Arabidopsis thaliana: one gene and its partner. The protein of the gene in region 2 purifies or fractionates together with the protein of the main gene of each other region. This does not show direct contact. Each region holds a gene or a part of one and is shown on either strand. Other genes may lie near its edges.

Region 1 (5,290 bases), on a different chromosome or scaffold from region 2:
CATATGTACCTATTTCTATGTAAACGATCAAACACAATAATTGAAATCGGTTGAATGATCAAAAGTATAGAAAAATATCATCACACTGATTGTGTTTGGATCTTTTATACAATATTGATGATAACATGAAAAACAAATAATGCCATAGCACATGTAGCTAGGTAGATGTAGACTGTAGTAAGATCTGAGATTTGATCCAATTATTTTTTCATTTTTATTTATGTCATGGTCGATCTACTGTTTATACGTAACGTCAAAATCAATAATTGAACTTGTAAAAGGATCCTATATTTTTTAAAATATATATTTGTTCTTGGTAAATTACTTGCTCCCAACTTATTGTGAAAACGTATGTCACTCAAGGGAACATAGAGGAAATGGGAGCACGTTAGCTGTTCGTATGTGGCTACAATATCTTCTTATAGAGCACGTTAGCACTCACCAAGTCAAAACAGACCTGGGCCGGTTTGCAGATAACAACTGTGTGAGCCCATTAAAATCTAAAACGGCATCGTCTAGTAGTCTTTAGTCGCAATCAAACCACAAACCCTAAGATCATCTCTTTAAATTACCATCCGTCTTCTGCAATTACACAAGTGATTCGAATCGCAATCAAACCACAAACCCTAAGATCAACACAGATCCTAATACTCTCTGATCATTCCTTTAAACCGTTCTTTAGTTTTGCTAATTAAAATAGACTTTTCTAGGTTTTATTATTTCAGACAATTAATTATTATCGAACTTTGCCACAACGGATGACATTTCCCGGTATCGGATTTTCATCTCTAACCGGAATAGTCGAAGGATCTTCTTCTCCTTCACCTTTAACTCTCATATAAAGCTCTTGACCAAGATACCATTGCTCTGCTTTCTGTGATCTCACGTTCCACATTCCTTGATTATCCATAGCTATCAATATTGCTGTCCACGAATATGGATAAACCTAAACACACACAGAATCAATTAACCAAAACTAATCACTGGTTTAATACTTTAAATTACGAGATTAGATATGGCTTAACCTGAACTGTTGACCGTGAAACAGCATCTACTAAGTTATATCCAGCTTTTTTGCTTTCAGACCAAGCTCCAAATCCATATCTAACATTAAACTCAAATAAAATTAGTACACCTAATTTAATCATCATACACATAATTATGATTTAAATATTGTAATTTTTACCCGACAACGAAGAAATTGTAACCATCGATGTGATAACTCTCCAATCCAAATAGAGGGTTCTGGAACACGATGTGGATGAAATCTTTGTAATGAATATCGACCACTGAAGTTCCAAGAGTCGGTGTTTTGTTGGATGGATAAACCGGGAACATGCCAGGGATTATCGTGTCATTTAGCTGAAAATGATCAACGAGCTTTAACGGAGTCTCGGGGTAGACAAACGAAACGCCGTTAATCGTATACCGTAGTTTGCCCGACGATAACATAACGTCGTTATGTAATATTATCGTTCTGGTTACGTTTATTCGTCCATAGTGGTACGAACCTTGAGGGTTCGATCTTGCTGCTCCAACGTTCAGGTCCATTCTGTGTCGTACACTTAACGTTTATTAGTCAAGAACAAATACTAAACGAAATATTTCATATAAAAGTTTTTATTCTTTGGTATAAAAAAAGAGTATTTCTTTACCTAATGGAAAGGGCTTGTTCAACTGAGGAACCAAAATCTTGCAAAGCAGGTGCGAGTGGACCTTGTCCGACTGGGTCAAGTGGGGAACCGGGATATCGAATTAAAGCTATACCGCCAAGGTAGGAATCAGTGAACCGAGCTGTGGCGAATATGTAGTAAGACCGGTAAATTCCAACCGGGTCGGTTTTGGCAGTGACAAGAATAGAGTATGATTGGCCTACGTGGATGTCCAGGCTCGAGTAAACACGTTTTTGAACATACGTACCCTCTGTCTCAACTAGAAGCATATCGTGGTCTTGGATTCTGAAGTTTAAGCATGTTTTGAGACCCACGTTTGATATTCTTAGCCTATATGTTTTGCCTGTGATTATATATAGACAACATAAAAAGAACATTTGTGTGTAAACTACATTATTAAAGATATAATGTAATATTTTTAAAAGAAGAAAAAAACTCACCTGGTTCAAATGCAAAGAAGGTCTCTTCAGGGCCACGCCCGTTAAAAAGAATACCATCAGGATTTGGCAAACTGTGACCAGCGTCAAGTGAAGCTCTCATAACCTTACACCAAAATTTGGAAACCAAGTGTTAATTATGCAAATCAAGCAAAACATCTTTTACAATGAAACTAATAACACATTCAATAAATGGGCAAGATAAAACTCAATAACCAAAATGATTATGATCTACAAAATTAGTTTTTTTATATATAAAAAGGATAGTATTGGAATGTAGGTTTGATGATAATACGGTAATTTATCAAAGAAACATACTGTATGGTCGAGATAAAACCAATCTCCAATCAAGATGTCGTATTCTTCGTCGGGCTTAGGGAATGGGACTGGGACAAGTTCTGGGGGATAGATTCTAATAGCACCGTATCCTCCGGCAGCTTTCTGAAGTAGAAGGGTCGGAAAATAAAAGTAACTTCCAATTTGATCCTTCACCTGAAAACGGTACGTCCAATTTGTCCCCGGTAGTATGGGACAGTTTGTCCCTCGAACTCCATCTTGCCACGAGTTCTTCCGCAATTGCAATCCATTCCTTTAATTTACATAGAGGTTTAATAACAATTATTCCTAAAATTAACCCAAAACAAAAAGTTGAAAATATATACCAAGTCATGAGGAAGGGTTCGGGCAAATTGTTGAAAATGTTAACGACAATGATATCGTTTGCTGTTGCATTAAGGATCGGTCCAGGGAACATGTCGTTGATCACTATAACCTATAGATTTTTTTTTTGGTGAATACTATAACCTATAGATTGATCATGCATCTGAAATTTCATATAAGATAGCTAAAACCATATTATTGTAACAAATAAAAACATATTCAAATGAAAATGGTTACCTGCTTGTTGCCTCCAAGAATGAAACGTTGAGAATACGAGACGACCCATTGATACGATGAGATTGGTGCAAACGCATAGCTCAACTCCAAGATGACCAAAGAGATCAGAACCAACACCTCGACAAAGACATGTCTCATCGCGAAAAGAGTGATTTAAGAAATTTTAAGATGCTTGTGATGTGAAAAAGAGGTGTTAGAGGCAAGACGTAGCTACATATTTTTCTTTGGAACAATATATTAATTAGACGACAACTATTGTTACTCTGTTTGGAGTTAACGTTTGTTTTGTGCTATGTTTTTTGAATATGATCGAAAAGTTCATGCAATCTGCATTTCCAACCTAATTTATGGGCAGCACATTTGTGCTTTTGTTAAAATTTGCTGGGCTTATTCATTATACTAAACCATGCATAAAGGCCCATTAAATATCTTATTGTAATGTGACGGACGAAAAAAAAAACGTGAGGGAGGACGATGGCAATTGCTTACGATATATTGTAAAGTGGATGTGACCTGTCTGTCTACACAATATTACAAAGATGGTCGCTATTACTCCTACAAAAAATAATACAACGCAAAACAATTATTGAAAAATTATTCATCACTTTTGTATCTTTCAAACTTTCACAGTTCACACCACCTAAAAAACAGTAAAAAGTAACAACATTATCACTTTCCACAACAAAATATCTAACAACTTTGAGTATACAGAAATGTACATAGTACATACGTATAAGCAAAATGAATTTTGTTTCTCCTTTTTTTTCCTGGTGTATATCGTTGCAAACTTGCAATTGATCAATAAAACGCAAAGATATTATATTGAACAAATAAATAATTTTTATATAGCCAAGATATTATATGGATCCTCATTCCTCAAATATAATAATTTACATGGCCCGCGATTATCATGAAAGACGTTGAAACGTCCACTAATCGTACCTAGTTGTTCTGAAAATGAAATGATGATTTTATAAATGATATGGTTTTAGACTTTTGAAGTTCTTCATCACTTATTGTTAGATGAAACAACAACGTTGCATTCAAATCTCAAATTCCTATAAATCACAGATAAAAAAGTAATTTTGTTTTACACGTCTACGTGGTTACAAATCCTAATCACGTAACTAAACAGTAAAGTTAAAGAATCTTGAAAAATAAAGATCTACTTTACGTTTTGTAGATATTTTTAATTAAAAGTGAACGTCAAAAGGTAATTGGATATTTTCGTTAAAATGTTATCAATCAAACTCGGACAACAATTAGTGGTAATTTAACTATTTAAAAACCAGACTAACCCATTATCGTATAGTGCTAATTATGAACTATGAACCGATTAAACAACAAAATTTACTATATAAAATCATCAGGTGCTTTTCTTAATCTCAACGGTTAAAAAAAATAACCAATTAGATGTGTCCACGTAAGCAGGCGTACCATAAGCTACCAACCAACACATACACCAGATTCTCACCAACAGAGGAAAAAAGCTTCTACTATAAAGCACACATCTTCTTCTTCATCTCTCTTTCGCTCTCAGAATCCTCTTTTAAGTCTCTGTTTCATAAATAAAACTAATAAAGAAGAAGAAGAAAACAGAGCAATTAAAGTCCTTAAATCTTCTTCTTCTCCAATTCAATGGCTCTTCCGTTGCCATTGATCTTCCTTATCTTCTCTCATTTGTTCGTTTCTGGTACGAATCTTCTCCTATAGATCAACTTTAGTTATGATTAATAATACTGTGATTCTGATGATTTTATGGTTTTATAAACAGGAGTTAGATCAACGAGCTTCATTATGGTGAACAAATGCGAATACACAGTCTGGCCTGGACTTTTATCAAACGCCGGAGTTCCACCACTTCCGACGACCGGATTCGTTCTCCAAAAAGGCGAAGAACGAACAATCAGCGCTCCAACTTCATGGGGAGGAAGATTCTGGGGGAGAACTCAATGTTCCACCGACACCGACGGAAAATTCACTTGTCTCACCGGAGATTGCGGATCTGGTACCCTCGAATGCTCCGGATCCGGAGCAACACCACCAGCAACACTAGCGGAATTCACACTAGACGGATCTAACGGACTCGATTTCTACGACGTTAGTCTCGTCGACGGTTACAACGTCCCGATGCTAGTGGCTCCACAAGGAGGCTCGGGTTTAAACTGTAGCAGCACCGGATGCGTTGTAGATCTGAACGGTTCGTGTCCGTCGGAGCTTAAAGTGACGAGTTTAGACGGCAGAGGTAAACAATCCATGGGATGTAAAAGCGCGTGTGAAGCT
Region 2 (5,296 bases):
TTGGATTAAATGGTATCAAATTTATGACCTGTTCAAGAAAAGAGCACAGAGTTTCCATAAAAAATATCATCAGATAATTGCAGAACCTTTAAGAGTATTAAGACATCGAAGATTTACCACTTGAAATGTCTTTAGCAATTCGCCTAGTAGATGAGCGTGCTGCTCTTGATCATTTACTCCATCAAGCATTATGTACTCAATGAAGATCTTTTGTTGACTGTTAAATCCAATGACAATGTGGCATAATGTTATAATCGTCAATGTAACTGAAGGGATTGTGGTTTTAATATTTAACAGCAACGAACCAGTCAAGAGTACATGAACTACCTGTTCTTTTGGAAAGTTTGAAGTGCATCCATAAGCTTTTGTAAAGGAAAGGCTCTAGCTGCTGGCATGATCTGGCAGCGGATTTCTTGAACTGGTGCATGGAGGGATACTGCTAAACTTACACCGGGTAGATCATTGTGTAGCTTGTTAATTGCGTGAACAATTCCGACCTATGCAAATGACATTAGGATACAGGGAAATTTATTTGCTAACTAGTAAAAAAAAGTGTCAACACAGGCAGCATTGCATGATTTAGATTTATGCCTGGAATATACGGTACAAGCATTACGGAAGGACAAGGAAATCAGAAGAAAATCCCAAAACACCAAAATTTAAAAGTAACCAACTAGACAAAAAAAGCTGAAAGATGTCTTGGAAGCTGCATACTGCGAGGTTTAATGGATTGAAGTTTATCTATCAGTTCCCTTTATCAAATTCCATAATCTAAAGTATTCCTACAAAATTCAGTGAATAAGTTTCTCTGTTTTACGAATGTTTCAAGGTAGCTTTCTGAGTACTTACAGTTGATATGGTAATTCTTTTGGGCGACAGCTGAAATGGTTGGTTTAACATGACACGAACAGCTTCAACAACAGCATTGTAGTTATTTAAAGGTTCTCCCATTCCCTGATCACAATCATCAAACCAAGGCAACAACTGGTGAATAAAATTCATCAATGCAGAGTATATAAAATAAATAACCATAAGGCAAGGTGCACATAGTGTAGATAAAATGCAATAACAGAAGCAGAAATATACCATGAAAACGATGTTGCGTATATCAGCAATGCGAGAGGCGTGAACAAGCTGCTCCACAATTTCTCCAGATGTTAAATTGCTTTTAAATCCCATGGTACCAGTAGCACAGAATGTGCAACCCATCTTACAACCAACCTATTGATAAATACTTTCACATCACATGTCTTTCATTCGATAAAACCAAGATAACATTGCGTGATAAAAATCAATACCTGAGATGAAATACATAACGTAGATCTTATACCTCCAGGACGTGGTTTCCCTCCTAACATCCCCAACCGAGTATCGTATCTCATTACCACAGCTTCCACAAAAGCTCCATTCTTCAATTTCAAAACCAAAAGCAAGAATCCAATATGAGTTCGTCAGGAAACAGAGACATTACAAGTTTTTCAGAATCCATAAAAGCAATGTGTTGTATACAGTAACAGAGTATAGAGTACCTGGAGCTTGATGAGAAGCTTTGAGGTGGTGCCATCGGAGGAATGAAATAGCGAGTGAAGAGACGAAGTAAGAGTCTTGAACTTGGAATGGAGAAGAGAGTATGCAGCGGAAGGCAATGAAGGAATCTCGTCCCAAACGCAATCAGGATTCTGAATTACATACTTCCAGATTTGAATCGCGAATTTAGGGTTTATTCCCGCTGATTCAAATTCCGATTTGATTTCCGAAGCATCGAACACCGATTTCAACTTCATCGACTCTTCCTTGGGAATTCTCCGCTCGCCGTCGCCGATTTTAAAAGCCCTAAACTTTTAAAGCAAATCCCCTCCGTCACAACAAAAATTCAAAGAAGAAGCTAAAACCGGTTTGGTTTTTGGTGGAAAATCTAAACCCGGTTTGATTTTGATATTTGGGGGAAAAGTAAAAACCGGTTTGTCTTAACCGTTTTTGTCCTTTGTGGTGGACGAGCCGGAATATAAATTCCCCAATTTTCACTTCCAACATTCCTCAGCTGCTCGATCTCTCTCTGATCACAACAATCATAAGCGATGAGAGGAGCTAGACCCGATGAATTCAATTTTAGTACGAATCCATCAACGCCAAACACTGGTCAGCCGACACCGACGTACCCCGCCGGTGTTGGCGGCGGCGGCGGTGGAAGGAAAAAAGGCGTTGGCGTGAGGACGTGGTTGGTACTTAACTCGTCAGGGCAATCGGAGCCGAAGGAAGAAGGGAAACACTCCATCATGCGGCGAACGGGATTACCGGCGCGTGATCTTAGGATTCTCGATCCACTGTTGTCGTATCCATCTACTGTTTTAGGTAGAGAGAGAGCGATTGTCATCAATTTGGAGCATATCAAGGCAATCATCACTGCTCAAGAAGTTTTGTTGCTTAATTCCAAGGATCCTTCGGTCTCACCCTTTATTGATGAGTTGCAGAGGCGGATTCTCTGTCACCATCACGCCACTAAACCTCAGGTAATTGGAGAATTTAGGGTTTTCCCACTGTTCATTTGGAGCTCTTTTTGTTTATTCAAGGAGTTGGCTTTTGTATTGTCTCCTTTTGTTTGTGCCTAATTGCATTGTTTTGGAATTGGGAAGTAGAAATATTTTCGCTTGACAATGGAATATGTATATAATAGCTAATGTATTGTTGAGACATGGTTGACTATTTGATTTGTGCAATGGTGATGATATGTGAAGATTATGGTTGTCAGTTTAGCTATGGTTGACTATATACTCTCTTTGTATGTGTTGTGTAAAGGAGGAGCAGAACTCTGGGGGAGAGCCTCATACGAGGGTAGATCCTGCCCAAGGAGAAGCTGGAACGGAACAATCTTCTGGGGATCAAGGGAGTGAAGCCAAGAAGGATGCGAAGCAAAGTCTTGAGAATCAAGATGGATCGAAGGTTCTTCCATTTGAGTTTGTTGCTCTGGAAGCCTGTCTTGAAGCTGCATCAAGCAGTTTGGAACATGAGGTAAATACTTATGTTAAGGCTCTGAGACAAAGCATATTTCTTCTCTTGTTTGGTATTTGATTCATTCTTCTAATGTAGGCCTTAAGATTGGAGTTAGAGGCTCATCCAGCCCTGGACAAGCTTACTTCCAAGATCAGTACCCTTAATTTGGAGCGGGTTCGACAGATTAAAAGCAGGCTGGTTGCAATAACTGGACGTGTTCAGAAGGTGCTATGATTCGGACATTAAAATGGCTCCTTTGATATTATGATAAGGATTTATCATGTTTCCTTATAGATGTGAACCTATGACATCACCATATTCTAACCACGTTTGCCTATACTAATAACACTTTTTCTCTTTACATGTTCTAGGTGAGGGATGAGCTAGAACATCTGCTAGACGATGATGAAGATATGGCTGAGATGTATCTTACAGAGAAGTTAGCTCAGAAACTTGAGGATTCGTCAAATTCCTCTATGAATGAGAGTGATACCTTCGAGGTTGATCTTCCTCAAGGAGATGAGGATGACAGGCATGTATCAACTTTCTGAGCTTGCAGTACCTTCTATTGTTCTGATATAAGTTTAACATCTGCCTTTTTACTCCAGGCTTCCTCCCGAATTTGCATCAGAGGCTAACAGAGATGGAAGGTATCTTCAAGCAAATGATGCTCACGAGCTTCTTATGAGTACTCAAAGTGCACTTAGCAGAAATAGCCGTGGGACTCACACAAGCTCAACCCGGAGTGCCATGACCAACAAATTAGATGTGGAAGAGCTTGAAATGCTTTTGGAAGCATATTTCGTGCAGATCGATGGTATACTGAACAAACTATCAACAGTAAGTAAATAGACCAGATGCTTTGGTACTCTTTGTCGTGATGATATCCTTCTTCTAATACATTGTGGTTTTTGTTGTTGTTATGATGAAAAAAGCTAAGGGAATATGTGGATGACACGGAGGACTACATCAACATAATGCTAGATGACAAGCAGAATCATCTTCTGCAGATGGGTGTGATGCTAACAACAGCTACTCTGGTGATGAGCGCCTTTATCGCAGTTGCTGGTGTATTTGGTATGAATATAACCATAGAGTTGTTCACGGATAATAAACATGGTCCAAGTAGATTCATTTGGACTGTGATTGGAGGTTCTATCGGCAGTATATGCCTCTACGTTGGTGCCATCGGGTGGTGCAAGTACAAGCGCCTTCTTGAATGAGTCGACCAACAACATATTGGGAGAGGAGAATAATGTCGCATTGCCACAAATCTATTTAAGCTAACAAGACTTTTATGTATATCCTTTGTTCTTGAGGATCTTTACTACTCTCAAACCTTTTTTTATCCGTCTCCTTCACTATTTGCATTTCTTTCGATTTAATAAAAGAGCAAATTGCATAGTTTCCTTCTTGCTTATTTCGACATCAAAATTTAGATATAGACTGATTAGAGAACCGGATTTTATAATGGTATCGCAGATCGTTTCTGTGCACAATTCTAACTTATGGGGTTTTTTCTGATACTTGAAGAAATATAAGGCGGAAACTGTAATATTGAGGAAATTGACAATTTCTGACGGGAAAATTAGATAAAATGTTGCAGGCAGGCGTGGGAAGAGAGAAGAGCAAAGCCCTAAAATTTCTTCGGTGAGAGAAACATGTCGACGAGGCGAGAAAGCAGAGATTCAGACCCTAGACGTCACCGTTCTAGAATCGATCGCGAACCCAGGTCTTCTTCTTCTGGAGATTCCTGCTCTATCTTCATCTTCTATTATAACTTTGAAGCAAATAAAATTCGGTTTTGAACAACGAGGAAGCTCATAGTGTCTTTTGTCTAGAAATCGAAATGAAAGCTGAATTTAGTGTTGAAGTGATTGTTTTTTGAATCATCCTATGTTGATCTGTCTACTCTAATTTGGTCACATTCACTCTCGAACAGTGGAGATTTTTCTGAAGATGGTCAATTTTACTGATAGGCACAATTAGTTGATTTTGGTAGCTTATCACAGTTGTACAACTAATCATTTATGTTTTTGTCTTTAGCCCTAAGAGATCAAGAAGAGATGGCAAACCTGAAGCTGAACGAGTTCTGAGTAAGAAGGATTTGGATGTTAGAGATGGTACTGACACTGAGAAAAACTCACGTCAGTCTTTGAGAGATGCTCCATTGGAACTTGATGCTCATGGTTCGAGAAAAGACAGTGAGAAGAAGCACTCTGGACATCATGAGACCACCAAAGCAGCTCCCCATCTGTCACAAGTACCTCGTTCTAGACCATATTCTCAGGTTCCAAAACAACCT

The links.
Region 1: the proteins of MGT4 (region 2) and sks18 fractionate together in Arabidopsis thaliana (co-fractionation; one large-scale study listed by BioGRID). This does not show direct contact.

Annotation. Positions count from the first base shown.
Region 1 is NC_003070.9:28,454,244-28,459,533, forward strand, and holds sks18 (SKU5 similar 18), read right to left. Parts: upstream 3,286-5,290; 5' UTR 3,146-3,285; coding exon 3,008-3,145; intron 2,883-3,007; coding exon 2,773-2,882; intron 2,700-2,772; coding exon 2,429-2,699; intron 2,217-2,428; coding exon 2,114-2,216; intron 2,017-2,113; coding exon 1,656-2,016; intron 1,553-1,655; coding exon 1,187-1,552; intron 1,105-1,186; coding exon 1,026-1,104; intron 947-1,025; coding exon 737-946; 3' UTR 538-736; downstream 1-537. Other genes in the region: AT1G75800 (Pathogenesis-related thaumatin superfamily protein), read left to right, coding at 4,646-4,700, 4,782-5,290.
Region 2 is NC_003074.8:6,818,891-6,824,186, forward strand, and holds MGT4 (magnesium transporter 4), read left to right. Parts: upstream 1-2,035; 5' UTR 2,036-2,078; coding exon 2,079-2,510; intron 2,511-2,796; coding exon 2,797-3,009; intron 3,010-3,087; coding exon 3,088-3,216; intron 3,217-3,362; coding exon 3,363-3,523; intron 3,524-3,599; coding exon 3,600-3,831; intron 3,832-3,926; coding exon 3,927-4,214; 3' UTR 4,215-4,577; downstream 4,578-5,296. Other genes in the region: AT3G19630 (Radical SAM superfamily protein), read right to left, coding at 1-28, 118-217, 328-497, 850-954, 1,087-1,221, 1,299-1,409, 1,530-1,784; AT3G19650 (cyclin-like protein), read left to right, coding at 4,653-4,723, 5,038-5,281. UniProt on the Arabidopsis thaliana protein: Magnesium transporter that may mediate the influx of magnesium.